Notamacropus eugenii: one gene and its partners. The protein of the gene in region 1 purifies or fractionates together with the protein of each later gene. This does not show direct contact. Links are inferred from orthologs where the notes say so. Each region holds a gene or a part of one and is shown in the gene's direction. Other genes may lie near its edges.

Region 1 (7,400 bases):
AGACTGTAAGGACTGCTATGATTATTGGGAACTCCTTCAAGTTGAGCCCCAATCATATCCTCTACCACTTCCACCCTTTGCTTCTAGTTCTGCCCCCAGGGGATGAGCAGGACAAGTCTAATGCACATGACAACTCTTGACATACTAGAAAGCAGCTCAGCCCTGCCAAATCTTTTCTTCTCCAGGATAAAATCATCTCCAATTCTTTCAGCTCATCCTGGGATCTCCAGTGCTCTCACTATCCTGGTCATCCTCCAGCTTATTCATGTCTTTTCTAGAATATGGGCTCCCCCAAAAGAAACATAATCTTCCAGATGTGTCCTAACCAGGGTAGAAGGCAACAGGATCATCACCTGACTTGCTTGGTACACATTACACCTCTCTCCACTTAGCCTAGGGTTTGGGGCTCATTTGGAACCCACAGATCCCATTCCTATAGTGCCCCTAGGACTTTTATCAAACACTTCCCTCACTAAAACCTTGGGGGGGGGGTCAGAGTGGGACACTTATGGATTCCATTCTACATAAGGGGGAACTGAGGTCCAGGTTAGGTAAGTGACTTGAGGGTGGAAGGTCAAGGCTTCTGATCTGGAGTTTTTCCTCTCCCAACTGCCCCTGTAAGAGGGAGTGTTCAGGTCAGGGAGCAGGCTGAGCTGCCCCCTCAGAAAATGTGGGATAGAGGGTCTGTCTTCTCCTCTCTCAGGCTCTATTTTCATATTTCTTACTGAGTATGGAGCTTTGAAGCTATATTGGTGACCAGAAGAGTAGAGATAAAGGGATAGATGCAAGAGGTGCTGTGGAAATAGAAGCAACAAAACTTGGCAACTGATTAGCTATGGGGGATAGGTGAGAAAAAGTCATCAAGAATGACTCTGAAGTTATGAATTGAAGTAACTGGAAAGACGGTGGTACTCTTGATCCAAACTATAAAGCCTGGAGGTGGGGCAAATTTATAGTAGGTGATAATCACTTCTGCCTTAGATATGTTGACTTCAGATACTAAAATAACACCCAAGTGACGTCCAAAAGGTGGTTGGTGATTTGGGAACAGAGTTAAGGAGAGATGTTAGGGTTGTATATATAGATCCAGGATCACAGAGATAACTGAATTCAATGGAGATAATATATAATAAAGAATGTGAAGAGAAGGAACTCGACAAAACCTTGTGGGACACGCATGCATAGGAGACAAAAGGTGATTGATGATCCAGTAAAGAATAAAAAGGAACAGTCAGATAACTTAGGACCAGGTGAGGGCAGTGTCAGGGAAGCCAAGAGACAAGAGGATATACAAGAGAGGAGTGTTCAAAGTAGCAGAAAGGCTAAAGAGGAGGATTGGGGAAAGGATGGTTAAGACAATGTATATAAAGCACACACAAAATTTATACAAGGTAGTTTGGGGAGGAGTGCTCTAGCAGTTGTGGGGAACTGGAAAGGACCTTCATGTAGAAAAGGGTTTTTGAAAGCTGAGTCTTAAACAAAATCAGCATATTGTTTTATACGTGTTAGTTCTGTCTTTAGGCTTGTAAATGACATCTCCTCAAGTAGACTGTAAACTCCCTGAAGACAGAGACTGGATCTTGTTCATATTTAAATATAGATTACTTTGCCTTGCACATAGTAATTTATACAATGAATTAATTTGCCATTTTTCTTCATCCAAACAATGAAAGAATTTTTGCACACATATTAAAAGGTTCTACTTCAACAAACATAAAGCATCCATTAACAAGACATGGTCCTGCCTCATAATGTTCACAGTGTGGTCCAACGTATGTGCAAATAACCATGATATAACATGATACTTAAGATGCATGCGATGCAAATTAAATGTAGTGCCAGATCTAAGGAGGCACAACCAAAAGCAAGGATCATGGAAGATGTGTAGAGGTGGCATCTGAACTGGATTTTAAAGCATGTAGGATTTCAACAGATAGAAATGGAGACATATTTCAGGCAAAGAGAACAGAATGGAGATGGGTTTTCCGTTGGAAAAAAAGACAACCAGTTTTCCCTTGAGAGAATAGGAGATGAAAATAAAGTTGGAGAATCTCTGAGAACTATGTTTACTCTACTCCCTGAACTTCTTGGAGGAAAACTGCACCTATATTATATGTCAAACTATCCAGTAAGGAAATTCAAAAGCTTTTTAAAAAACTGAACGCTAGAGGGCACATGTTACTTGTTTGTGAACGGTGTACAAGTTCTCTGTAGGGCAGTTTCAGAAATAGTTAACTGTAGAGTATCTTTTGTGAGTAACTTTATTCTAGTACAGAGAAAAAGTAAGACAATCAAAGCATCTGAAGACTGAGGTCCCACAAACAGAGGAAGAAAATGGAGCCTGAGAGAAGAGGGGGAAAGAAAGGGAGACACTGGGACTATGTGGTAAAAGCACAATAAAGGAGATAGCCCAGGGTCACTAGGAAATTCTATTTCTGTAAACCAGTGTTAAAATCTACTCTTAGAACATCTTGTTTTCTTTGGTTGTTTTACTGTTTTATATTGTTTTACTTTTGCCTGTTCTTTTAAATTAAGAAAAAAAACCTCTTGGTCCAATCTGTTCTTTCCCTAATACCAGATTAATCTTCCACATATGGTCAAATTCCTTTAAAGTCATCCTACTTAGTGGATACTAAGGTCTTTTCCCCTTTCTTTCCTTTATTTGAATGACTCACATATTCAGTCAGTTTAAGGTTATTGATGAACCTGGATAAAAAAAGACTTTTAGAGATGGCAATAGGAGATTCTAAGGGAAAGGACATTAGCAGTTTTATCATTTTGTATAGGGGAGATGGCACTGCAGGACCATAGAACTAGAGATTGTCCCCATCCTGCCTGAGAAAATTCATATACAGCTCCACCCTTCAGTTCTCCTCTCATCAGAAGAGCAGATGAGTGCAGAACTTGGGGTAGGCTATAGACTAGCAGTTCAATGGGTAAATGATTCTGGGGATTTAATATACATAGTGGACCTTAATGGTTGCTCACTTAAGGGTATGTGTTGTTTTCTTTAATAATTTTTCTCTGTAATATTGTGAATTATATGCATGAAAGTGAGGAGTCATTCTTAGACTACTAGGGAGTTCTAATGATACATTTTCCTGATGAACACTATCTGTAAGTGGACTCAGGACTTTCTTAAGTTTATAATACAATCAAAGTTTAAACTGTTTTGAGACCCTTCACAATTTGGTGGCACCCTGCCTTTTTTAGCCTTAGCTCAACTGTATCCTGTGTTTCTGTCAAACTTAAGTACTCCTGATCTACTCCTCTCTCAAGTCCACATTATTTGCTCAGGATTTTTCCACCTGTGTGCTCATGTTATTCTGTTCCCTCTGTCTGAAATACCCTCCTCCCCATTGCTCCTCATAATTCGAGCCCCTCTTTAAAGCTCAATCCAAATGTTGCATCCTCCAAGTCATCCACAATCTCTTTGGTGGTTAATTTCCTCATACAGCATTATGCACTTTTCTCATGCACTTGTTACACAGTTACATTTATCATATAGTTACAGTTATTTGGACAACGAATTGAGCATCCGAAAGAAAATTACCTAGTCACACTTGCTCATTTGACAGATAAAGAAAATGAGCCACACAAAAACTCTGACTTGCCCGACAGCTATCAGAGGGCAGAGCAGAGATCCAACCTTAGGTGCTGATTCTAAATTTAGTGTTTTTTCCTCTTCCAAATATTTGTGTTAGAACAAGGGGCCATGTCCTAATTAGTCACTTAGCCTCTCTGGACCTCAGTTTCCTCGTCTGAAAAGGGATCTATAAGATCTCTTCCAACTTCCAGAGTCCAGGACAGTACTTCTCTACAGAAAAAGGTGGGATGCCAGTTCAAAAAGAAACCCCAACCATTACTAGTGTTTTAGGGTTTGCAAAGCACTTCACAAAATGCTCTGGTTTGAGCCTCACTCAAATTAAACTCCAGCAACCTTAGAGTCTCGGACCTGAAAAGATGCTGGGACAACATCTCTGTATCGGGTTCAACGCCAACCTGAAGCAGGATATTCCCCGCCGAGCATCTCCCTCCCTAACCTTCCAGGCTCTAAGGGCTGCGGATTATTGGGAGCTCTTCGTGCTGAGCTCCAAGCAGACCCTTTGCCCCCAGGGCGGGGTGGCACGGGGACGGGCAGGGCAAGTCTATTCACCGGGCTAAGACCATCCCCAGCTCTTTCAGCTCCTCCTGGGGTCTCCAGGGCTCTCGCCTTCCCCGTCACCGTCCGGCAGGTCCATGCCCCTACCCCCCACTAAACCCAGCGCTCCAGGTGTGGCCTGGCAGCAGGATCGTCGCCCGCCGTGCTTGGCACAGCCCACACCTCCCTCACCTGGCCTAGGGTTTCCATGGCGCCTCTGAGGCTTCTACCAAACATTTCCCTCACTACAACCCTGGGCGTCGGCGTGGGAAGCCCAAGGATTCCATTCCCCAGACTGGGTAAGGGACTCGAGGGTGGAGGGTCACGGCTGGCCGCCAGGCTTATGTAAGAGGGGGTGCTGAGGTCAGCGAGCAGGCCGAGCTGCCCTCTCAGAAGACGGGTGGAGGGGCTGTTTTCTTCACTCTCTGCCCTCAGACACTAAGGGCGTCTCACAGATCCGCCTGGCCGACCCGCCTGGCCTCCCGTTTCCTCTCGAGAAGCCGAAGCGCACGCAGCCAACGACCGTTACCCACAATTCCGCGGGGCGCCCGCGTCTTTTCAGCACCCTACAGATTACTGCTTTACGGCAGTTGCGCGCCCGAGGCGCGGGGTCACTCTCCACCTGTCGGAGCTCTCGGCCTCTTTTCCCCGCCCCTTCCGCCGTTCGGGATTGGGCAATCTGTCAAAGGATCGGGTAGTGACTGGCTGGCGGAGACGTCAGCCCGCCCTGTTCGGTGAGGGGCGGCCTGGAGGGAATTCTGAGTCTTCCGAGCTACTGCGGCGGCGGCGGAAGTGACCGGAACAGCCCCGGCCCTGTCCCCGCCCCGGCGCGGCCGGCACTATGGTGAGGGGAGATTGAGGGAGACGGCACGGGGCGGCGGGGACCCACTCTGAGACTCAGTCCCCGGCCCTGGCACGGGGAGGGACAGGGAGGGGGCTGGTCCTCTGTGAGCCCGAGCACAGGGGGTGGGGGGGTGGAGATCTCACGTGGGCCGGGGCGCGGCGAGACTCCCTGGCCTGCCTTCCTCTTCTCCTCTCCGTCTTCCGCTCTTCTTTTCATTCCCCTCCTTAATGCTTCCTTCATCTCTCTCCTCACTCCCCCCTTCTCCTCCTCATCCCCGCGCTCAGTTAACTCCAGTGACTTTCTATCACCGTCCCAGTCTTTTCCTGGCATTCAAAGCCTATCCCTGCCATGTAGTCTTCTTCCGGCGACACTGACCCCGCATCCTTTAGGTCCCAGCATTTTCTCCCACGTCCCTCATGCCTAGAAAGCCTTCCCTCTTCATCTGTGTCTACTGACTTCACGCAAGTCCCTTTCCCCACTCATCTTCATTTTAGTGCCTTCTTTCTGTTAATGATTTCCTACTTATCTTGTATGTATGTGCGTATTTGTTTATTCATCATCTCCCCCACTGCCCTGTGAGCTCCTTGAGGGCATGGACTGTCTTCTGCCTTTTTTGTCTCCCCAGACCTTAGTACAGTTCCTGGCACATATTTACCATTGGTAAATGGTTCTTGACTGACTGATCCCCCTCTTTTTTCCTCTTCTTCATCTCCACCCATCCTTCTTTTCATGCTCCTCCTCTTCTCCTTCATCCTCCCCTTATCCGGCTTTCTCATCTCCTTTATTTTTCCTCTCCCTCTGTCATACCTCCCCATTTTACTCATCCTCATCTCCCCAGCCCCCGCTTCTCATGTGATGTCTCATTCTCCCTTTTCCCTTCCTCATCTTGTCTTCACCATTTCATCTCACAGCCTCATCTCTCCTTTTCTCCTTCCATGTCTAATTCTTACCTCTACTCGTAATCTCAGCATCACTTTGCTTCACTTTTTCTCCTGCCCCATTTTCCTCATCCTATCGTCAACTACTTATAGGACCTGGGCAAGTCCCTTAGCCACCTGAGCCCTAGTTTCCTTCTCTGTAAAATTATGGGTTAGGTTAGATTGCCTCTGATATCCTTTAGATCCTATCATCTTTCTTTCTCTTCTTCACCTGTTTGTCCTACACCTCCTCTTTCCCCTATTCTCTTATCCCTCATTTTCATACCTTCATTTTCTTTTTCATCCCTTCGTCTTCCCTCCCTGTCCTGCCTTCATTCCATCTTCATTTCTTTCTTCATTTTCTATTCCCCTTATTTTCCTCTCCAATTTGTCTCTTTCCTCTGTCTTCCCACTATTACTTCATTTTTCTTCTTACCACTTTTATCTCTTCTCTTTCCCTGTCTTTTCTCTCATCTCTCCTCAACAGTTTAACTTCCCTCTCTTACCCACCCCAGTCTCTTCCTCCTTCCACTTTGGGTTGGGGGAGGAAGGTAGGATTTGGGAACTTGCATAATCCAGCAGTTTTTTGATTAAAAAAAAAGGTAGGGCTTCTTTACTTCTTCCTATTTGGACTTCTATAAGTTCCATCTTCCCTTCTTTCCCTGTTCTTCCTGTGCTGGGTCTCCCTTGAGTTACATAGCAGCAAACATGCACATTTGGCCATCATAGTACTCTTACAGAAAACCAACTGGGGAAGTAGACTTTGGCCCATTTTCGTGTGGAGCAGTAGCCCACGCTCACCTATGATCCTTTGGAGGAGGTTCCTCAGAGCTTTTTTCCCTTTTCTTTAGAAAAACCCTCAGATGTTTGTTCTAGTAACATACTAAAATTAGAAAGTCCATGGTCTTCCTTCTCAGACATCCCCAATGGTAGCCTTGAACCAGAGATTGTCAGAACTGAAAGGACTCTTAGATAATATCTTCTCCAGCCTTCTAATTTTATGGAGGAAGAAACTGAAGCTGGGTGCCCAGGGCCACACTGATGGCTCCCATTCCAGGCCTGTTTATACTACTCAGTAGCATATGTGAAAAATAAAATCCATAGTGCAAAGTGGTATGAAATCTTGAATGTAGAAAAAAGTAACACTCCCTTGAAGGCAAAGTCCATGAAGGGATTGGCTGTTTTGCACATATGTCCCTGGGTTTTTAAGAAGAGGAAAAAGGTTTTAAGCTTTGTAGTGTCTGAGGAAAGGAAAGCAAAACAAAACACATTTAAGTTCATAGCCTCCTGAACTACAGTGATAAGGGGGCTTTATTGGTATTGGCTTCTGTGTCAAATACAAATGTAGCATTGTGAAAGTGGGAAGACTAGTGTCCAGGTAAAATCTCATTGGTTGAATCCTGAATCACTCCTTGTATCTCCACTACCTAATTGGAAAATGAGAGGGAGGGACTTGATCTCTGTTGGAAGAAAGACAAGCTTATGCTTTAGCCGATGG
Region 2 (7,006 bases), about 44 Mb from region 1:
GCAGGCAGCCTCCAACGGCCCTTGCAGCTCTAGATCTTTTCTCCTGGAAAAAGAAAACTTGATTTGGAGTCCAAGGACTTGGGTCAGATTCTGAGTCTGACCTCACTCAAGCAGACCACTTCTTCTCTCTGTGTCTCAGTTTCCTCCTCTGTAAAATATAAGATGTCCATGGACTATGCCAGGGGCTCTTAACTTTCTTTGTGGCATGGACCCCATTGGCAATGAGTCTGGTAAAAGCTATGGATCCCTTCTCAGAATGTTTTTTAGTGCATAACATCATATTCGTGATTACAAAGTAAGTCAATTATATTGAAATATATATGTATATGTGTATGTATACATATATACATACATACATACATATATAAAAGTTCAGGAACCTCAGGTTAAGAACCTCATAAACTGTTTGATTTCTAAGGTGAGCCAATCATTAAGTGTATATTACATACTTACTGTGTGCCAGCCACTGTGCTAGACACTGGGGATGCAAAGTCAAACCAAACATTTTCTGTCCTCAAGAAATTTCTGTTGGGGAAAACTCTATAGTATGTATGTAGCAGTGGTGGTGGTGGTGGTGGGGAGCAGTGAGCAGGGTTAGAGTGGGCCTTTAGAGGTCAAGTCCAGCCCCCTAATTTTATAGATGAAGAAACAGGCTCAGAGAGGTTAACTGAGTTGCTCAGGGTCAACCAGCAAGTGTCTGAGGCAAGATTTAAACCTGGGTCATCCTAGGTCCAACACTATCCCCTGTCCTCTGCTGCCACTGTGAATCTCCTTACTGACTCATTGCCTAGATGGGTTTCCTGGTATAAACCTTTTCTTTATATTCTGGTGAGGTGTAACAAATGAATCTCTAATTCTGCTTCTGTCCCTCTTCCCCTCCTCTCTTTCTATTTCTATCTCTCTCCATCCTTTTTCTCCTCTTTCTCCCTTCCCTTCACCCCTCCAAGCCCCTATCAAGGTACAATGCTTTTCCAAACACTCATTTTTAAAACTCTCTCATCCAGGAATGTTCTTCTCTTCCAATAAATATACTCACATGAGCAGTGCCTGTGTTTAGCACTTTAATGCTTTAAGGGTCCCTCTGAGACCCTTTCCCTGCTTTGCCTGTGTTATGGTAGATACTTGGTCATCCGTATGTCTTCTCCTCCATCAGACATAAGTCAAAGTGACTTCCTGGAAACAGCCCTCATGTGCAGAGGGAAGAGCTAGGGGCGTCCCGAGGGAATCATTTATTATGGCCCATTCTTTTCATTTACATTCACATAGCACAATTTGTTGAGCCATTGTCCAGATGATGAACATCTACTTTGCAGCTTTGTGCTAACCCCCAAATGCTGATGTCAATATTTTGGGGTGTGTGGAGACTTTCCCGGTGGGATGGCTGCCGTTATGGAAGAATCTCTGGGCATTTTAGTAACTTCATTTGCTTAATTCCAGACTGGTGGCATGGATTTGCAGCTTCAATAATGCACTAAAGTACCGGTTGTCCTGAAACCCCTCCAGCATCGACTCTTCCCAACTTTGGTCCTCTGCCAGTCTGTCGAGTGGGAAGCGAACCTTCAGTTGTCTTGATTTGCCTTTCTTATTCCTAGTGATCTAGAGCATTCTTTCAGGTCGTTAGTAATAGTTTGTTCTTCTTTTGAGAACTCTTCCTATCATTTAATCACTTTTCTGTTGGAGAGGGCTGTCTCACAAATCTTGCTGCAGTTTTAAGCTTTAGCATCTCTGTTATGTTTAGAGCCAGAAGCTTTACCAGCTTGTTAATACTACCATGACTTGTGGAATAGCGTACGTGTATATGTGTGTTGTCTAAGTATCTTGGATGCCACATATTTTCCTGTTTTACCACTTAACTTAGATATATTTTGTTTGTGCAGGTTTTCAATTTTATATAACATTAACGTTTTTGATTCCTTCTGTCAATTGAGAAGACATCTTTAGCTGGAAAAGGTCTATGATCCGTTTTCTTCTAAGTTCTTTCCAATATGATCTTTAATATTAAAGTCACACTTTCAGTTTATGCCTGACAGTTTGCAGTTTTTGTTGATGAGGGAGTTTTTTCTGAACTAATTTATGTTTTCCAGTTTATTGAACCCTGGGTTATAGTTTCCGATTCTCCTTTGTCTATTTTTCCATCAGTACCAGATGGTTTTGATGACTGCTGCTTTATAAAATAGATTGGCTCTTCATCCTTAACTCTTTGATTTCCCTTGATATTATATTGTTATTTTATCAGGTTCTGTAAAGTGTTCTTTTGATAATTTGATTAACATGAAAATTGTAAATTAATTTTTGTATTACTGTCATTTTTATCACATTGACATGGTCCAGCCATGAGCATTGAATATTTCTCCAGTTACTTAAGTTTTTATTTCAAGGAGCACTTTGTAATCGGAGCTATTTATACCAAGTCTTTTGTGTGCTTTAGTAAAGTGATGCCTAAATACTCTTGCATTTTGTAGCTTCCTATGGCTCTCATGGAACTGGAGTTCCCCTTCCGTTGATAGGCAGGCCTGGTGGATTCTTTCTTTTTAGGGCTGCCAGGGGCTTGGCCTAGCTTTCTGCAGTCAATGCCAAGCTTCCTTTCCAATTCAACTAGGGAAACTTTTTCATACTTCCTAAGTGGCAACAGAGCAGTAGATAGGCTTTTTTTTCCATTTAGTTTAAATTAATATTAACACTTCACTACCTCAGTTATCTGCCCTTTACTTTCTTTGACTAAACATGACCTGAGTTTAGGGAAATGTCCTGACCAATCCTCCTTACACATGTATGTGCATTTGTATATGTACATATGTGTGTATATATAAATACATTTATATACACATGTACATACATATATACATGTATAGAGTGGGAAAGAGAGTAGTGTGTGCGTGTACATCAAGAGCTAGGTGGAGCAATGGATAGAGCACCAGCCCTGAGATCAGGACCTGAGTTCAAATCTGGCCTCAGACACTTGACACCAGCTGTGTGACCCTGGGCAAGTCACTTAACCCTGGCTGCTTCCAAGAAAACTTAAAAGCTTCCCGAGGCAGGCGATAAACTGAGAAGGTGTATTTGGTCCCCTGCATGGCCTTGGCCTTTCTTTGTAAGAGGAAGCGCCCTGCGTCTGGCTGGGTCAGCCTGGTCTTTAATCACGGTCCCTCCATTCCCTGACCTGGCAGGTGACACCAGGCATCAAAAGGGTCAAACGCAGCACTTTCCACATTAAAAGGGAACAGCCCTCGCTGCCCTGCCGCATTCGCACTGAACTTCTAAGGAAGAAGTGAGGACGGCAGGCATGCCAGGCACGGAGGAAGGTCGGTGCAAAGGTGCGGAGATGGGAGACGCGGACAGCCACCAGGCCCCTTCCAGCAAGCAGCCCCACGGTTCCGGACGCGGGCCGTACTGAGTCTCTAAGGACTAGTCATTTTAATTAACGAGGACAGGTGGGGTGGGGACTTGACTCGTTCCTGGTCACGGGGCTCGGGCTGGGCAGTTTCCCCCGCACCAGGCCCCGGGTCGGCACTAGGACCAGCCGGCGGCGCGGAGCACGGGCCGGCGCGCACGCGCGTCAGAGGGGCAGCGCGGGCTCGGGCTCCAGGGCGCACCTGCGGCAGCACGCGCCCCACGCAGGTCTAGGGACCAGGAGGTAAACCGCCCTTGTCCTTCCCAAGATGGCGCCCGCCCCTGCACGTCCCGCCCCCTCCGCCGTCCCGACCTCCTCTATGGCCCCCACTTCCTGTCCAAAGGACCCCGGAAGCCTGCCCCTCGTCGCGCCGGGACGGACGCGGAGAGCAGGGGTCCCTTCTCGCCCGAGAGGAGGCTGGCTGGGTGAAGCGCCCCACCGAGGCCGCCCAGCCCCTCGGCAGCTTCACAGCCCGGCCTGGCCGGACGGTGACCCGGCGCGGCCCGGGCAGCCTCGGCGTCAGCGCTGACGTCACGGCGTCGTAGGCGTCGGGCTCGCGGGGAAGAGACGCGGGCGGCGCAAGATGGCGGCGGCAGCAGCAGCGGCGGCCGCTTCTGGGCCCCGGGCGAAGGCCCCGGCGGCGGGGGCGGGGGCCGCGGCGGCGGAGGAGGCGGAGGACGAGGAGACGGCGGCGGCCTTGGCCGTGGCGGCGGCGCGCGGGCGTCCCGAGCCCGAGGCGCAGTCGGAGGACTCGGGCGGGGGCGGCGACGGCGGCGACGAGGACGAGGACGAGGACCTGGGCTGCTCGTCGGCGGAGGAGGACGACGATGACGAGGAGAAGGAGAACGAGGCGGAGATCCAGCGGCTGGAGGAGCAGGTGCGCCGCGGGGGAGGGGCGGGGGCTGGGGAGGGGGTGGTGCGGCGGCCGTTGTGGGACTGTTGCTCCGGAGCCTCGCGCACGCGCAGTGGGCCCCGCGCGCCCGCGCGCTCCAGACCCACGTGCGACAGACCTTCTAGGCGAAGGACGTGGGGAGGGGCGGGCAGAAACGGGGTCCCCGCCCTCGAGGAGCTCCTCCTCCGGTGGGGGGACCAAACCGCATACCCTTGGGATCAGCGGGACGAGAACGACCTATCGGAGACGAGGGGGAAAAAGGGAGGGCAGGCCTGGTAGGGGGCACGGCCGGAGGGCAGGCCTGGAGTCGGGAGGAGGGTCTTGGGTGATGATGGAACATCATCCAGTAAGAAGACTGGAAAGGCAGGAAGGGGCCAGGTTTACCAGCCTAGGGGTCGGTAATGTTCCAAGTTCTAGTCCCAGCAGCCCCACACTCCCTGCGGCTCGGCTCTTTAGAAGGCTGGTGTGCTCGGGGTCGGGGCACTCCCACGGCCTCGGCCTCTTTGGCCCAGGGAGGAAGTGAAGACGTGGGGGCCGTCCAGTGTGAATGTAGAAGCCACCAGGCGCTGGAGGCTCGCGCTGTGTCCCCTGCAGGGCATTGTTGTTGCTTTTGCGTCCTCTGTCTCTGAACACGCCCTCGTCCTCCTCACCTCGCCTACCTGCCCCTCCTCCAGCAGGCTGGAAGAAGGCCGGCCACCGTGCAGCCTGCATCTCAGCCCTTCCAAGGTCAAACCTGGCCATTCCAACGCTCCTAACCGTTGGGTGACTGGTCTCGGACCAGTAGATTTACATTATGAAGCGAGTTGAGTTGATGGGGAGCTGACCCTGCATGGGAGGCCTGCCACGTCCGAAGCCGCTGGCCCGTGCAGGGCTCTCCCTCCGCCCCAGGCTGCGCTTACCTGCCCTTTTATCCAGGTAGCCTTGGGCCTCTAGTCTGTGTGCTCCGGGCTTTGCCTTCCTAGCTCTCCACTCCTCTGGTCCTTCCCGTCTCTGAAGACAGTAGACCGCGATCAGACACTCCGGGACAGGCTTCCTGACAGACTGGGGGAGCTGGACGAGACCTCATCATTCATCTGTTCTCGTTTGTTACATGTTACCGAAGGAGCACGTCGGTGTTTGCGGAGAGTAACAAACCTGGCAGTGTTCCAGCGGCGTGCGAATCCAGCCCAGCGCAGTCAGCAGCCTTATTGCCCTTGGCTGTCTGACCTCCCTGCCCTCTTGATGAGTTGGTTGGACCAATGAGATGTTTCCTTCCTAGAGTTCCAGGGTACTGTCCCTCTCCTCTCAGGCTTGAGCAGGAACTAGCTTGGTCAGAATTCTCTCACCCGTTGGCTAATTCTTACCTTCCCATGGCTTTAGTTTGGCTGTTGACATGGCATGAGGAGGTCCAAGGAGAATGTACATGTGCTTACTAGTTAGATGTTGATGTGTGTGGTGTGATCATGGTGCCTCATTTTAATGAATCTCAAGATGGCCATCTCTCATCGCATCAACACAGCATCCCAGATGTGGAAGGGAGGGATCTCCAAGGGAATGTGGTCCAGCCAACCTTGTTTTGCAGGGGAGGAGGGACCCAGGGAGGAAGGAGCAGAGCCAGGATGTGACCATTGGACCACACTGTCACTTGTCATGTCCATCTACACAGAGACCTTTCTTGCTCTAAAATAGTCATAGATGTTGTAATTAATTTAAAGAGACCTGAAATTTTAGGAATGAGAAAAATTGAGTCTATTGGTGATTTTCCTAAGGCCGTATGTGTATATCTGTCTGCATACATAACAAGGTGGTGGTAGATCCAAGGACCTCCCCAGTCATACAGGAGTGCACCTCATATACCACCTCCCCATCCCATTATATAGTGAAATGAAAATGACTGTGGACTAGAAGACTGAGATTGAATTCTGTCACCACACTGAGCTGGTGAGTCTCCTCTCTGTAGTGGACCCCGAAGAAGCTCTGGATTTTTGAGCCCTGAACATCTGGTTTCCGATCCCAGCTCTGCTCTGAGTATCTGTGCAGCCTTGGCTAAGGCACTTTACTCTGGGCCACAGCTGTCTGCAAAGCAAGAAGATGGCACTAAATGACCTCCAGAGGACTGCGATTGTAACTGGCTCTGAAATGTTACTATTTTAAGTTTTATTTCTAAGTTTTTGTGTATCCCATCAGGAGAAAATTAAGTAGAGGTGTGATTAAAAAAATTATTGCTTTATAAAAACACTTCTGATTTTGTCCTTACGAGCCATGGCTTTGTTGCTGTATCTTTCAGTGAGAAACATCAGTTTATATTTGTACAGCACCTTTTTAAAGAACCCTGTCATATTTCCATCCCTCTAGAATTGAGGAGCCTTTAACACTGAGAGGTCCCATAATCTGACCAGTGCTGCATAGGCAGACTGAGCTGGTCTTTCCTAATCCTCCCTGCTGTGGCCTCGCTGACAGCCAGGCTGCTTTTTTAGGTTCAACAAGGTCAAGCTGGGTAGGGCTCATTTTTCCCAAATGTTATCATGTGGTCATTATAATGAATACCATGATATGTTGGTTCTTCCCCCTGGCTGCAATGTGCTTTTTTAATTATAATGATAACCATATGATTTTTAATTTGAAGTTAAAAGCTCTCCCCTAGAAGTTGTTCCTGATGCTTGTTACTCTGAAAACTTTTACTTTTATTCTTTGTAAAGGAACTCTGGTTAGTTCCAGGCCAGTTGTTTTTTTTGTTTTTGTTT
Region 3 (7,742 bases), on another chromosome or scaffold:
GCTGGAAAGGGCAGAGCCAATATATCCAGTAGGAAGATGATGTTCAAGGTAACTAAGGAGGGAGGAAAAGATTGAAAAGCAGTGTGGGTATAGGGCCACACTTGGAGTTACAAAGATCTGAAATGAATTCTTGACTCACACTAGCCATGGGCCCAGAGGAGTCACTTAATGTATCATCTTACTCAGATGATTCTGAGACTAAGTTACTAATGAGCTGTGAAACTGCATCGGTGCAGGGAATTTCCACACTGGGAGTTGCCTACCTACCATTAATGATCTAAGACATTTGACCCAGATCCTCTAGTACTGAGAGGACTGGCAGATGTGTGATTGATGAACCATTCTTGGTGTGCTTGGAAAGATCACAGAGAATAGGAAAAACAAGATAAAAAACTGCAAAATTGGAGAAGCACAAATGCTCTGATTTTCAAAGAGGGCAAGAAAATAGTCTGCAGATTATAGGCTAGTGAGCCTGACTTTAATCCCTAGCAATTTTCTATAATGTATTGGTCAAAGGACAATTAATAAAAAAAAAAATCAAAAAAGGAACTGTGGTTGGTCTCATGTTAACATTCTTATCAATGATGTGTTTTGGGAGCAGAAACATGTGTTCATCAAATTTGCAGATGACACAAAGCTAGGAGAGATAGATAACCCATTAGGGGGTCTTAACAGGTATGAACATTGGGTCAAATCATATGAGATGAGATTTAATAGGAACACATCTATGTCCAGGGTTAAAAAAATTCAACTTCACAAATGCAAGATGGTGGAGGCAAGGCTGAACATCTGAAAGAGGTTTGGAAGTTTTAGTGGACTTCAAGTGCAATATGGATCAATAATGTGATATAGTGGCTAGGAAAACTAATATGATTTTAGGGTACATTAAGAAAGGTATGAATTTCAGGAATACGAAAGTATCAATCCCTTTTTACTTGGCCATCAAACATCTGTTGTATTTGTGTTCAGTTAGAGATGCCACATTTTTGAAAGAATATTGATATTCAGGAGATTGTCCAGAGTGGACAATCAGGATGGTGAAGACCTTGAGTTCATACTACATGGGGACTGAAGGAACTGGAAATGTTTGACTTGGAGAAGAAAAGATTTTGTGGGAACATGATTGATATATTCAAGTAATTAAAAGGATGTCATATGGAGGAGAGAATTGACACCAAATGAAGAATTATTGTGGATGAGATCCTGAGTGAAAAATTGTACAAAGATAAATTTTTATAACAGTTGAGGTTATCTAAAAGTGAAAAGGTCTGCCTCAGGAAGCTATGGATGCCACTTGTTGGAGTTCTTCAAGAAAAAGCCAGATGTCAACTTGTTGGATAAGTGATCAAGTGAATTCTTTTTCTGGTAAGCTCACTGTGGTTTTTTTGAACTCTGAAATTCTGTAAGTCTGTTCAGTGAAGGCGATGAAGCATCCATATTTTCCACCCATTTTTGTAGGGCTGAGATAAACTCTTTTTTTCCTCAAAGGCATTCCTCACTCCACTGTATTCTTCTTTCTCCCTATCTCAGCCCATCTTCACAATTCAAAGTCCTACATTCCTTACAATTCTATAGGTAAAAAAAGAAATGTTTCTCCCCTCATCCTTTTAAAACAGAATATAGAAGGATACGCAACTGAAAATTGATTAAAAAACCTAAAGTCTCCCCAAAAAACAAAGATGGAAGCAATCAGTGCTCTTTACTGTGTCTTTCTGATTCTTACGTAACCGTAGGCTTAGCTGATAGTAAGGGGCATGTTCTAGGTTAATTCTATATAGCCTCTTATGCAATCAATCAATTAACAAGTCCAAGAATACGCCCAGTTCTGAATACGGTATTTATTGCCATGGGGAATACAATAAAATAGTCTGATGAGGTTCTTGTCATTCTTAGAATTTTAAGAGTCCGGGAGACTTTGAGAAGACCTCTGGCCTAATTTTGTTACTTTGGCTAAACTGTGCTCTTCCATCTCCCATTTATCCTTACCCAAAATACCGTAGGATACGTGCCTTTCCTGCTTTTGCCTGGGCCAATACCTAGGTAAGGAATGCCTTCTCTCCTCCTTTGTTGAATTTTTTCCTATTCTTTCAAGCCCAACTAAATAGTCATCCTTTCCCTGACGTTCCCTCGGCTCTCCATGTGTCAGGGATAACCTGCTCAGTGCTCATTCTCTCACATCACTGGGCAAACTTTATTTATCAAGTGTTCTTGTGTATTTCAATTTCCTGAGTATGGATCTTACTATTATGGATCCTGTTAGACTGTGGGTGCCACTGGGCCTTGGGTCTTTTCTAAACTTTCTATCTCCTACAGCACCTAGCACAATGATGTATACATAGCACTTAATGGTCATTTGAAGTCCTCAGAAGTGAAGGGACTTGAAAAAGGTCACATAGTGACGAGGTTGAGGGGTGATTGTGGACCCCAAGATACCGACAGTCCGGGTCGTGCTCGAATGAATTCTACTCAAGCCTTCTTAAAGCCAAAGAAAACAAAGTTTATTAAAGATTCACCAAATTGGGTTGCCTCTTAAGGCGCCTAAGCATTTGTAAAGCTTGTATTCACAAGCAGGCCAGACAGAATCCCAGCTAGACAGAGTCTGAGCTGGATTGAATCTGAGCGCCTTCATGGAGGCAAGATGGAACTTAAATACAGAAAAGAGTGTAGGAGGGATCTGGGGGTGGTCTGGTAGTCCAGGGTGATGGGAGGAGGTGTTTAGGGAGGGTCTTGAGGAGAAGTCCAAGGAGGGAATCCAAGGAGGGTCAAAGGCTGGAATCAGCTGGAGGCTATCAGGAGATATCAGATTAGTGTGGGTTTGGGTGGGAAGCAGGTGGGGCAATCCAGAGACCTTGATAGGGGCAGTATGGGAATGGATACAGATCTAGGGGCAGTATGGGAATGGATACAGATCTTGATGGGAGTGGTCAGCAGCCAGGGGAATGGGGTTTTGATGGGATCAAGGGGGGGGGGGGGTGGTGCAACGGAGACTAGAGTAGAAAGATAATGAAAAGCCCATGGGCTTCCGGAGACTGCCAGAACAAATGCGAAGATTAGACTTGAGTAAGGAAGGCCAGATTAAGTGGGAAGATTCAAGGGGAGCTCAAGGAGGCTCCCAGAGTCTGAGCCCCATCATTAGTAGTGAGTGACATACTCAAACCAAGATCTCCTGACTCCCTGAACTGGAACCTAATACAGTGAGATGGCAGGGCAGGGAGGATGGGAAGTTACTTACTGGTGTGATTTCTAGGGCATCAGGAAGACTCTCCCATGTAAAACTTTTCCTCCCACTCAAATACCAACATGCCAGAAATTCCTCCATTAGTAGACATCCATTTGCCTTCTGTAAGTCTTCCAAGAGGCAGAGATAACACCGGTCATCCATCGGTCTGTAATTCATCAGATGCTCTCCTGGAAGTGACACCAGGGCAGCGTACAGTCTACAGGGAACGCACGAGATATCGTTAATATTACACTGACTGGCATGAGGAGAATGGATAAGATAAGACAAACTTTCACCAGCTTTACACCTGATCCTTTAAACAAGATGTCTAGAGAACGCACCGACGCAATCAGTCAGCAGTTACGAAGCCCTTCCTGGGTTCCAGGCTGTCGTACGAAGTCCTAGGGATCCAGGGAAAGGCAAACAACAGCCCCTGCTCTGAGTGAGGCAGACCACCACCAACACGCACACGCGTGTGGATGTGGACATGTAGAGGAGCGGGGGTGCATGCACACCCACCATACCTGCAGGACACACTGGGGATCGCCTCAGAGGGGAGGCAGCCAGAGAAGATGCGCTTGGGGGAGGGAGGGTCGTGGGCCAGCAGCGGGGCGCGAGGGGGCGCGGGGGCCTCCTGCCCGGTCCTGCGCGTCGCGGGGAGCCCCTGGAGCTGCCCGAGCGGGGCTAGGCCGGTGTCCAAGGTGCAGACCCCAGGACTGGCCGCGGGGGAGGGCAGCCTGGACGACCCGCAGGACGCTGGGGGGACACCGGGGGGGCACCGGCCCGACGTGCCCACGGGCCGCGGGGCACGCCCACGTAGGTCCTGGACCCACTCTCTTCTGGGGAGTTCGGACGGAGGAATTCCGTGACTGCGCGTGAGGTCCAGCTTTCGGGAGCAGCAGACACGGCCTCCACGTCCCTTCCCTGCCTCCTCTCCCGCTGGAAGCTTCCAGGGAGCGCGGGCCTGGCGGGGTCTACCGTGAAGTAGAGTCCGAGGCCGCGTTCTTCGCTCGGAAGGCCCTTATGGTGCTGGAAGAGCAGACGGAGGAAGCGTCCATGATCCATAAGGGACCGCAGGAAAACAGCGGAGACCGAGAGGACAGAAGATGCCTCCCGAGGGAGCAATAAAGAGGAGCCGTTCCCAACGAGCCAGCCAGGAGTCGAACCTGGAATCTTCTGATCCGTAGTCAGACGCGTTATCCATTGCGCCACTGGCCCTCGGACGAAAAAGCTCTGGCCGCGGCCCGTGTTCAAGAGCATGCCGCGGGGCTTCATGGGGGATGTAGTTTTTCGCTTGGACCTGTTTCAAGGGTTCTCCCTAAGACGAGACGGGAAGTAGACTCGGCGGACAAACGGGGCCCTCGGATTGGTAGGTTTCCAGGTCTCTTGTCTTTCGTCACGGCGCCGCCCCCTGATTGGTAGGGAGGCCCACACCTCGCCCCGCCTACCCCGCGGCGCTGAGTGCAAGGAGACGCTCGGGTTGTTAAGGAGACTCCTCCCGCCTACCGGGGAAACCCGGCTTCTTCTGCGCTTCGCCATTGGTTGTTGCGAGCCAGGGGTCCTGGAGAGACAACGTGAGGGGGAAAATGGCGGCGGTGGCAGTTGGGGCCCCCGGCTGCCGCGTGTCCAGCGGGCGGGACCTCAACTGCGTCCCCGAAGTGGCCGATACGTTGGGGGCCGTGGCCAAACAAGGGTGAGGGCCCCGTTTTCCTTTCCCTCCTCTCTGGGGTGGGACGCGCGCTTTCTGGGAGATGGAGTGGGAGAAACTATTCCCAGCCCCGGGGGGAGGGGGAGGGGACCGTGGTGGGAGAGACCATTTCTGCGGCGGATGGGGGTGGGTGGAGAGGCTCGGGCGCACGTGTCCCCTGCCGAGGCTGGGAGCGGGCTGGCACGGTGTGCGGGCAATCCGGCGATAGTTGGGGCATGGGGCACCCGTGCCAGGGGCGAGATCCCACGGGGGCCGGCCCTGCCGCCGGAGGGGGGGTCCTGCCTTTTCCCTCTCCTCCTTCCCACGAAGTCCCTTTTGGGGGGCATCGAGGCCCCCCCGTGCCCCCCTGGCGCGTGGGCAGTGCGCGCTGGTCCGGCCCACGTGGGCCGGGCCGCTGTGGGTTTACTAATGTACGGGCCGGGTCCTCTGTCTTTGTCTCAGCTTTGATTTCCTCTGCATGCCCGTCTTCCACCCCCGATTCAAGAGGGAATTCGCCCAGGAGCCTGCCAAGAGCCGCCCCGGGCCCCACACTCGGTCCGACCTGCTGCTGTCCGGACGGGGTAGGAGCCCCGCCCCCCACATTGTCTGAGCCCTGCCCGCCCCTCGTACGCCCCGGGTTTGTGGTGCCCCATGCCAGGGGCAGAAGCGGGCTCACGTCCTCACCCCTCTCCTGTTTTTGTCTTTCCTGGCCCATGCAGACTGGAATACCCTGATTGTGGGGAAGCTGTCACCATGGATCCGCCCCGATTCCAGAGTGGAGAAGATAAGAAGGAATTCGGAGGCGGTGAGGCTCCTTGGCTGATGCCTTGTGGCTGTCATGGACCCTTGGGGGCCACCTGGGGCAGACCACATTTCAGCGGCTGTTGGGACACCTTGCTGTCAGCTCTGTCTCGCACCGCAAGGATGGAAGCCATTTGGGACATCATTGACTAATCTGTCTGTGTTGGTCTCTGTTCCAGGCCATGCTGCAGGAGTTGAATTTTGGGGCATACCTGGGGCTTCCAGCTTTCCTGCTACCTCTCACTCAAGAAGATAACACTAACCTGGCCAGAGTTCTGACCAATCACATTCACACAGGCCATCATTCTTCCATGGTATGACCTAAGTGATTTCCTCCCCAGACCCAGAAGATGAATGGGCAGTGTTGTGCTGTGGTTGGGTTGTATTTAATACTGTTTTATCCCAAACCAGGCTACCTAATACATTGGGCATAAAATGGATTGGAAAGAACCCTGCTGTTCTTCTATATTTGCCTAGGATTGCTGATCAGTCAGTTATTGGATATATCAAACAAATACTGTTACTAAAAAAATGAATCCTTTTAATAAAGAGAATTTATTTCTGTCTCAGAAAACATAGAGTTGAATTGGAAGACAAGATAGACAAATAGATATTAGCCTAAACATACAAATGGGCATTGTCTCCATGAAGTAGCACTACCTACTTAAGTCTGCAGGAAACAAGAAAAACATGTTGGTTCTAAAGGGTGTAGCACTGGTTTGGGATCATTTTCATTTTAATCAAAGAAAACTTTGTGGAGGCAAGGGTAATAAGTTTCTTTCCATGTAGTTCTGGATACGGGTACCCCTGGTGGCGGCAGAAGACCTTCGGGATGATGTCATTGGGAATGAGCCTCTTCAACGGACAGAGGCATACACTGGGGAGGAGAAGACATGGATGTGGTATGTGATTCTCTCTGTTATTGCAGAAGATTAGAACCAGGGCTGGGAGAAGAATGGGCTAGAGGCTGTGGGACAGTGACTGACAGCTGGAAGGAGTATAATGATTGGCAGGCCCTGTGCTCTGTTTTCTTCTGGTCAGGTGGCATAACTTTCGTACCCTGTGTGACTACAGCAAGAGGATTGCAGTGGGTGAGTGTGGCAGGCTGCCATAGCTAGAGCTTCTTTCCCCCCTCCGCCATGTGAGTTGAAGTCATGGTGTGAAGCTTCAGATTAGCTTGAGACTTTGGGTAACTTCTTTTTACTTTATAGCAGGCTGCTACATAGCTAGATTGTAATAGACTCCCAGATAAGAAAGCCTGTTTGGGCTTCAGTAGATCTTTCTTTCCATACTATAGCTATTGAAGTTGGTGCTGATCTCCCATCCAGTCATATTATTGACCGATGGCTTGGGGAGCCAATCAAAGCAGCCATCCTTCCCACCAGCATCTTCTTGACCAATAAGAAGGGATTTCCTGTCCTTTCTAAGGTGCACCAGAGATTAATCTTCCGGCTCCTCAAGGTAAAAAGGGTATACATTGGGGTGAAGAGTTGTAACGTTCATCCTTTAGTTCCCTAGTGATTCTCTACCTTGTTTATATGAGTGTTTGAAATTTCCCCTTAGATCAATTCTCTTTTCATATTTAATTCCAGAAGGGGTCCAGAGATAAAGGGAAAATGTGGCACAGGAAACTTTTAACTTTTCATGGAACCCATCTTCAAAGGAAATATTTCCATAGGATTAAATAATAAAGCACCAACTTAGGAATTATATTGTTCTCCTTTGTTTCCTCAGTCCCCAGTTTTCACTTTTGGGATTCTGAGATCCAGAAGTATATTTGAAGTATATTTTGCTATTTGCAAAAAGTTATGAGGTATTCTGAGCTGCCTTGAGATGCCAAGTGGGCATTAAACATATTAAAGCCATGTACTAATTATTTGGGGATTGATTTAGGATATATAAAATGAATGACTTAGGCCCCTCTTCATTGATGCCCTTTTCCTCTGGCAGTGATTAAACAAAATGCTTGGTTTGGGAGTAAGTCTTTTAAAACAATAGGACGGTGGGGCTCTGTGCTGGGAAAAAAGGAAGGCT
Region 4 (7,772 bases), on another chromosome or scaffold:
ATTTTTTCTGGTAGACTTAGAACTTCAGTGCAATGCAAGGACTTAAAAAATTCCCAATGATCTTTTAAGGCAAAATATCTTCCACATCCAGAGAAAGAACTATGGAATTCAGTTGCAGAATGTAGCAGAGCATTTTCTTTTGTATTACGTTTTGGTTTGTTATATGATTTCTCCCATTCATAATTTTTCTATGCAACATAACTATGGTGAAAATGTATTTAATAGGAATGTATGTGTACAACCTATGTAAAATTGTATGCCTCCTAAAAGAGGGAGGGGGGAGGTAGGAGGAAGAGGGAGGGAAAAAGTATCTAAGTTATATGGTAGTGATTAAAGGACATCTCGTCTCACTGGTCCTTGAACAGGAAACACTTTTACAACATTGACATAACATAGCCATTCAGCCTCTGTCTATATATACTCAATAATGGGGAACTCACTACATTTATTCCATCCCCTACCTCCATGCTTTTGCATGACTGGTACCCCCTGCCTGAATTCCCCCTCACCTCTCCTCTGCCTCTTAGAAATCTTTGTTTACTTCAACAAGTCAACAAGCATTGATTAAGCACTTACTATGTACCAAGAATCCCAGAGGCTACTAAAAAAGGCAACAACAGTCCCAGCTCTCAAGGAGTTCTCATTTTAACAGGGGACATAACATGCAAACAACTATGTGCAAACTACGCACACATACACACACATACATATACATGCATATGATGAATTGATGAGGGGTGGGGAATCCGTACCTTCAAGGTCACATGTGGCCCTCTTGGTCCTCAAGTGTGGCCCTTTGACTGCATCCTGGGACATCTCCAGTCATCCTGATGAATATCTGGTCACTGGATTCAGATGGCTGTGGAGGAGAAGTGAGGCTGGTGACCTGCACAGCCCTCCCTCACTCCAAACAAAGTCAAGTGCAAGTCATGTCATTATTTCTCTGATGGCATGGTCTTCTTCAGCAATGAAGGACAAAGTGCCACCTCCTTCATGAAACCTTTCTTGATTCCTTCCCTCCCTGTAGCAGTACCTAGTATAAACAAGTATGTTTATCCTGTGGGAAAAAAAAATCTTGTATTTACTTTGTAGATAGTTTGTGTAGCTTATGTATTAGGTACATTGTTTCTCATGAGAAAATCTAAGGAACTGTTTCATTTTTTTGTAACCCTAGCACAGTACTTGGGTATAGTGTTTGCAACATTCTTGTTGAATGAAATTGAATGACAAGGGTAGAGGTTGAATGGAGGTTGGAGTTAGATGCCATAAGGGAGGTAGCAAACATCCAGAAAGGGAAGCAGTTATTACAAAGCGCCAGCATGACTTCATTAGGATGACTTCGATTATTTCCTTCTTTATTTTTTTGATAAGGCCACTTAACATCTGATACCAAGGGAAGGCTGTGGGTAAAGTTGTTAGATTTTAACAAAGCATTAGATAGAATGTGTCATGTTCTTCTTATGGAGAAGACTAAGAGACTTAGGCTAGACCATCCTAGAATTGCCTTCAGAACTGTTCAGGATTGTGAATTGGCTTTAGAATCATTTGAAGAGCAATTAGACTTGATCAGTTTGGGGCCCAGAGAACAGAATAAGGAGCAAGGGCCAGTGGTCAATTGAGGGAATGTCAGGAAAAATGTCCTAACAAGAACAGTTGGCCCCAAGTGAAATGAGTTACCTCCTTGGGACGTGTTTAGTTCCCTCTCATCAGATATTTTCACCAAAGGCTTTTCAGGAACAGTAGAGTGGACTTTTCAAGAAGCAAAATGGTTTAATGGATAGGGCATGAGACTTGGAACTGAGAGGACCTGAGTACAGGTCCTGCATCAGACATTTAGTGGCTCTGTGATCCTAGGAGGGTTGATTGATCTGTGTTTAGGTTTCCTCACCTGAAGGTGAGGTGGACACAGTGGCCTCTCAGATCTCTCCTAGCTTGAAATCTTTGATCCTATGATCCTTCCATGTTGGATTAGCTGGCTCCTGTGAAGCATCCAACTTAAATTCTATGATTCTATGTGTGAGGAGGTATGGGAGGGGAACGTTGCATATAGGCTGAATGGACACTTTAGAAATTATAGGCACAGAATTAAGTGCACAAAATGAAGCACGCAAACAGGTTTGTATGCATACACATATGTATGCATTTGTGTATTATATCTATATAAAATTATTATATATGTATGTATATATTATATGAGTGTTCATATATAGGAAAATTGATATAGAGATCTATGGTCTGCAGATCTATATAGAATTATATATTGTTCAATTGTGCCTGACTCTTTGTGACTTCATTTGGAGCTTTCTTGGCAAGGATACTGGAGTGGTTTTGATGAGGCAGAAGAGTACTAGAAGTAGATGGAGCAAGCAGGATGCAGGATATGAGATATGAAATAAAATGCAGGGTACGATCGACCAAAAAGTGATCAAAGAAAACTAGGCATTGAAGCCCCTCACCACGGATTTACCTGTGTGCTTTCACAAAGCACCCCCAATTCCAGAACAACTCTTCCCTTTCCCTCCTCTATTGTCTTTGCTTATCTGTATGATAAAGCACCTCAGGCCTATCTGATATCCCAGGCATTTTGGAGCATGGCTTGCTCCTCCCATTCCCTTGTCCTCTTTTCCTCTATTCCATAAAATTATACTTAAACCAGACACCGAATCCCAATAACCACTTTTGCCTCCTATGAAGAGCAGGGCCGCTCTGCTACCTTAGGTGAGTAGGACTTGCCACCTATGCTCTGCCTCCCCTGAGTTTGACAGTATCACCCCAATAAATGCATTTCTTTAACTTGGACACTGAGTGAACTCTTTCAAGGCAATAGGACCCACACAGCTACTCCTCATCATTTCAGGTGATTCTTGGGGTGCAACCTGAACTCATCAGTCCTCCATTTTCTTCTCCAGCTCATTTGATGGATGAGGAAACTGAGACAAACAGGGTTAAATGACCTGTCCACGGTCACACAGCTAGTAAGTGTCTGAGGCTGGGTTTGAACTTAGATCTTCCTGCCTGCAGGCCAGGCATTCTATCTACTGTGTTACCTAGTTGCCCCCAGATCTATATATTGTGTCCCAAAAGTCTTATCGAAGTTTAAACTATTAAAATACAGACTGGCGTTAAGATTCTTGGCACAGTCTGCAGAGCAAGGAGGTAACCTTCATGCCAAAAAAACCATAGGATTTAGAGATGGAAGGACCTTAGATATCTGGTACCACAACCCCCTCCTTTTACAAATAGACCCATTGACCAAGGTCAGCAAATGATACATATATACACACAAGTACATACGTATACATTGGAAGCACAGTACGGTGGGAGGAGGTCTGACTTGAGAGTCATGAGGGCTGGGTGCTAGTCCCAGCTGTGTCACTCACATTGCTGTGTGACTCTGAGCACATTACTGGCAAACTTTAAAAGCACTAGATAAATGCTAGCAATTGTTATTAGCGCCAGAAAAACAGTCATCTTACACCTTTTCTGATGCAGTTATCATGTAGCATTGAGAAATCTAGTGATCTATGCGCCTTACCTGCTCCTAAAGTGAAAACAGAAGAGAGGGAGGGAAGGTGGAAGAGAGGAAGGGAAGAAAGAAGGGAGAAAGGGAGGGTAGGAGAGAAGAGGGGAGGAGAGGGAGGCTGGGAAGGAAGGAAGGAAGGAAGGAAGGAAGGAAGGAAGGAAGGAAGGAAGGAAGGAAGGAAGGAAGGAGAAAAAAGAAAAGAAGGAAAAGAGGAAGGGAGGGAGCGCGGTTGGGAGGAAGCATTTATTAAACTGCCCCGGTGTGTCAGGCCCTGTGCTAAGTTCTGAGGACCCCAAAAAGGGCAAAGTGCTGCGGCGCCCCAGGAGCTTAATGAATGAGACGGGCACCGCCCCGCCCCTTCCCTGCCCGCGCGGTGGGCACTGTGGGCGCCGGGAGCAGCCGCCCCGGGAATCCTGGATCTCTGAAGTCCCGGACTAGTAGAAGCCAATGACCTCCCCCACCCCACCTCCACCCTCGCCGCGGTTCAAAGCGGGAAAGCCCGGGGCGAGGGGCGGGCAGGGTGTTGGACGGCGGGACCCCGCCTGCTCCATTTAGTGACTCTCCGGTAAATTTGGGGTCTTCAGCGCGCGGACGTTTCCTAGGACGGGCTAGAAAGTAAAGCAGTCGAGGGCGGGGGGAGTTGTCCTCGAGCCTCGGGGCAGTCCCCAGCCCAGAGCGCGGGCTCCGTCACACCTGCGGGCCTCAGGGTTTGTTGATGGATTGACACAACGTTCATGGAAGGGGCGGCGGGGCTAGGGAGAGGAGGAATGGGGTGTGGGGGTCTACGGGCCCGGACGCCGGCAGGCCGAGGCCGGCGAGGACTCTCAAGGTCAAGGGGGCAAGAATGCTGGCCTCCAAGTCGGCCCCTCGGGCCACTATCTGGTGATAATCACAAGGACTTCCCCCGCGGACAGATGCCTCGTGACCCGAGTGCCCGCCACGCCCCAGACGTGGAGCCAGCGCCAGTACCAGGGAACACAGCCCGAGGCCAGCCGGGGGTGGGGTCAGCCGCGCGCAGGGGCAGAACTGAGCTCTGGGACTTATTTGCCGCTGTCCTCAAATGACTAACGAGCGTCAGATAAGTCCCCGCGCAGCCGCACGAGCAGGGAAGGGCCCTTCCTCTCCCCTTGCCCTCGGATTCCCCGCGGTACGGTGCAGCGCGCCTGCGCACGCCCCTTCGCACGCTGGCACGCAAGAGGCGTACGGCGGCGGCTAGGGGTCGCGAGCCGCCGGAGGAGTGGCGGGCGCGCGCGGAGGAGCCCGGGGCGTCGGACGCGTCTCCCCCCCTCCCCACGCCTCCCTCCCCCATCCCCCTCCCGCTCCGCCTCCTCCCCCCCTTCTCCCTTCCCCCTCCCCCCCGACGATGTTTCGCTACGAGGTGAGCGCGGGCCACCGGAAGTGGCCCCCCGGGAAAAGGGGGGAGGGGGACAGAGGGAAGGGGGGACCCCCTCCCCGGGAGGAGTGAGTCGGGGGAGCGGGAGAAGCTGGGCCCGTTACTCCCGTTACACCTACCGAGCGACGCCCGGGCCGGGAGCCGCTGCCCACCGGAGACCGGGGGTCGGGGAGGCTGCCCTGGGGCCTAGGGGAGGGGTCTTCCTCTATAGACTTCGGGGGCTCCCCTTGGACCATGAGGGGCTCCCTCTGCAACTTTAAGGGAGTCCCACTGTAGCCTTGGGGAGCTCCCCCGGGGCCTCGGGGGCCCGTCTGTAACTTTGGGGGAGTCTCTGCATCTTGGGGACGCCCTCGGGGTCTTGGGGCTTCCTTTCCACTTGGCGGAGTTCTCTCCTGAGCCTGGGGTGGGGCCGAGATGAGGGCCTGCCGCTTCCCGGGCTCCCCACCTCTCGGAGGAGCCCCAGGGGGTCGGTGCTGGAGGTGCAGCAGGCCCGGGGGGAGGGGGATGACCGAGAACAGCGCCTGCCTCCGGGCCTCGACCTGGCTACCCAGAGGCCGAGGTCTGGGGCGGTCATAACCTTGACCCAGCTCACAAAGGCCGGAGCCGCCCTCTTGCTGGAAGGCACCGATGATGCCTCTAGGGGAAGCTTGTCTGCGAGCCTCTTAGGTGCAGGCTGCCTTTGGCTTGGAGCTTGGGGTGTGTTTCTATTGCCGCTGCTGCTGCTGCTGTCCTTAGAGAGAAAGGAGAAAGGTTTGCTTTTTGACTTTAATCCCTCCCTTAGGTTTCGGGCAGGAGCTACCTAGACCAAGCCTACCTTGCCCTGAAATTCGGAGCAGGGAGCTTTCTCCAGGACTTTTGTGGGATAAAGAAGGAACCTGAGATCCCCCAGGAGGTGGGGAGGTGGGGAGGTGGGGTGCGTGTTCATCTCCTTCAGTAAAGAGACAGCCCAGACTTGCTTTTTTTGACATTGTGGGAAGAGCCCTGGTCTTGAAGTTAGAAGGGGATTTGAATCTTGCTACTTAATTGCAACTTGGGCACAAGAGTGGAATCAAGCACTAGAAAGAGCTTTAAGGAACATCTACACATCTTATTTTACAAGGGAAGAAACTGAGGCCTGGAGAGGTTAGGTGACTTAGGTGCTAAGTGATGGCAGAGTTGGATTTGAATTCAGGTTTCCTTTCTCACCTTTCATACATTCAACAAGCTTTTATTAAATTCCTGCTATTGGGAAGAGCATTGACTCAGGAAACAGAGGACCCTATTTTGTGTGACATTGGGCAGGCCTTTTCTTTTCTTGGAGTGTTATTTTCCCCATCAGTGACATGAGGAGGTTGAAAAAGCCTTTGATGCCCCTTCCAGCTCTAGACTTGAGCCTATGTGCTGTTCTCTGGAGATACAAAAGTAAAAATTAAACATCCGCTGCCCTTGAGCTTAAGTGCAAATACACACATGTAGTAATTTCTGATAGTGGTGGGAAGGATCAGGAAATATATGAATGAGGTTAAACTTGAGATGAGCTTTGAAGGAGGGTGGAAATTCTGAGAGGTTCATGTGAGGAGGGAAGACTTTATTTACACAGAAAATAGACTTGGTAGGCCTCAGTTTCCTTCTATATCCAGTTGTAAAATTCTGTGATTCCTAACCTGGTGACTTTAAGCAAAGCGATCATAAGCTCATATATCTAGAGCAGGAAGGGACTTCAGATCATCTATTCTAAACTCCCTCATTTTACAGATGTGGAAACTGAGGCCCAAAGAAGTTAATTGACTTGCACAAAAAACCCATCAGTAGTAAAAAGGCAGAGTTGGAATTCAGGTCCCACGTCCTTAGACTCTAAGACTGTCATTCTTTCCACTGTACCACATTGCCTCCCTCATCTTTAAAATAGGGAAATATAGAGCCTCTTTCCCTTACATTCCTCAGCTTCTTGAACATCTCTGTGTTCTGTGATTCTAATGATAATTAGTAGTAATAGTAATAACACTTTGCATTTATATAATGCTTTAAGGTTTGCAAAGTACTTTACAAATATCTCATTTGATCCCCATGACAACCCTGGGAGGTAGGTGCTATTATAATTCCATTTTACACATGAGGAAACTCACAGGAAGAGATTAAATGATTTGTCTGGGATCACAGTGTTAGTAAGGGTGTGAGACAGATTTTGAAGTCAAGTCTTAACTGACTCCAAGTCCAGAACTCTGTCCACTGCACGAGCTAGCTTAGAGAACTGAGTCACAGGGCATAGTGCTAAACCTCTGGTTCATTCACCCCACTAGAATTAATAAGAAGTCTCCATGGAGCCTTGACATCAGGTTTCCCAAACGGCACTAACTTCTGATGGACTTTTGATGACTGTGGAAATAAAGGGTGGGAATAAGTTGGCTGTTGTCATTTTTTAAAAAAGCAGAATGAAATAATTAACAGAGAACAACAAAGTAGGGGAAAAAATTCATATGCCATGCAATTGTGTTTGTGCAAGGCCATGGACATGATTTATCAAGATGTGCTTTGTTAGAAAATGGAGTGAATTGTGAGTCTGAAGATTTGCTATAGAGGCATTTCTTTTTATTTCCCAAGTTAGGGGTGAGAGAATGTTGGGAAATATTTAAAAGAAAGGAGTGATAGATTGAGAAAGAGATGAGCATGGTGGGAAATCAGTTTATAGGGGAAAATACCTAAAACTCAGAGCCAGAAATGTAATATAATTAACTTTCAATTCCTTTTACTACTTCAAACAGATAAGGAAGTTAAGAATTAGTTTCAGTTCTGACATATTTGTAGCAGTTGAGATTTAAGAAGAAATCCCTTTACTAGATTTCTGATGAATCATGTGAAATGATGCAGTCAAGAAAA

The links.
Region 2: the proteins of LSM4 (region 1) and SART3 purify together in Homo sapiens (affinity purification with mass spectrometry; 4 studies listed by BioGRID and IntAct, counting the BioPlex papers as one, with this or other methods). This does not show direct contact. The link is inferred for Notamacropus eugenii from reciprocal best matches to the Homo sapiens genes LSM4 and SART3.
Region 3: the proteins of LSM4 (region 1) and PRMT5 purify together in Homo sapiens (co-immunoprecipitation; 3 studies listed by BioGRID and IntAct, with this or other methods). This does not show direct contact. The link is inferred for Notamacropus eugenii from reciprocal best matches to the Homo sapiens genes LSM4 and PRMT5.
Region 4: the proteins of LSM4 (region 1) and PATL1 purify together in Homo sapiens (co-immunoprecipitation; 4 studies listed by BioGRID and IntAct, with this or other methods). This does not show direct contact. The link is inferred for Notamacropus eugenii from reciprocal best matches to the Homo sapiens genes LSM4 and PATL1.

Annotation. Positions count from the first base shown.
Region 1 is NC_092875.1:67,410,496-67,417,895, forward strand, and holds the start of LSM4 (U6 snRNA-associated Sm-like protein LSm4), read left to right. Parts: upstream 1-4,372; 5' UTR 4,373-4,982; coding exon 4,983-4,985; intron 4,986-5,130; exon of another isoform or gene 5,131-6,504; intron 6,505-7,400. UniProt on the Homo sapiens protein: Plays a role in pre-mRNA splicing as component of the U4/U6-U5 tri-snRNP complex that is involved in spliceosome assembly, and as component of the precatalytic spliceosome (spliceosome B complex).
Region 2 is NC_092875.1:23,491,017-23,498,022, forward strand, and holds the start of SART3 (squamous cell carcinoma antigen recognized by T-cells 3), read left to right. Parts: upstream 1-3,959; 5' UTR 3,960-3,974; coding exon 3,975-4,268; intron 4,269-7,006. UniProt on the Homo sapiens protein: U6 snRNP-binding protein that functions as a recycling factor of the splicing machinery. Promotes the initial reassembly of U4 and U6 snRNPs following their ejection from the spliceosome during its maturation.
Region 3 is NC_092878.1:10,218,940-10,226,681, forward strand, and holds the start of PRMT5 (protein arginine N-methyltransferase 5), read left to right. Parts: upstream 1-4,650; 5' UTR 4,651-4,806; coding exon 4,807-4,913; intron 4,914-5,369; coding exon 5,370-5,488; intron 5,489-5,626; coding exon 5,627-5,712; intron 5,713-5,887; coding exon 5,888-6,022; intron 6,023-6,497; coding exon 6,498-6,610; intron 6,611-6,749; coding exon 6,750-6,799; intron 6,800-7,005; coding exon 7,006-7,169; intron 7,170-7,742. UniProt on the Homo sapiens protein: Arginine methyltransferase that can both catalyze the formation of omega-N monomethylarginine (MMA) and symmetrical dimethylarginine (sDMA), with a preference for the formation of MMA.
Region 4 is NC_092873.1:5,566,585-5,574,356, reverse strand, and holds the start of PATL1 (protein PAT1 homolog 1), read left to right. Parts: upstream 1-4,750; 5' UTR 4,751-4,886; coding exon 4,887-4,901; intron 4,902-5,482; exon of another isoform or gene 5,483-5,666; intron 5,667-7,772. UniProt on the Homo sapiens protein: RNA-binding protein involved in deadenylation-dependent decapping of mRNAs, leading to the degradation of mRNAs. Acts as a scaffold protein that connects deadenylation and decapping machinery.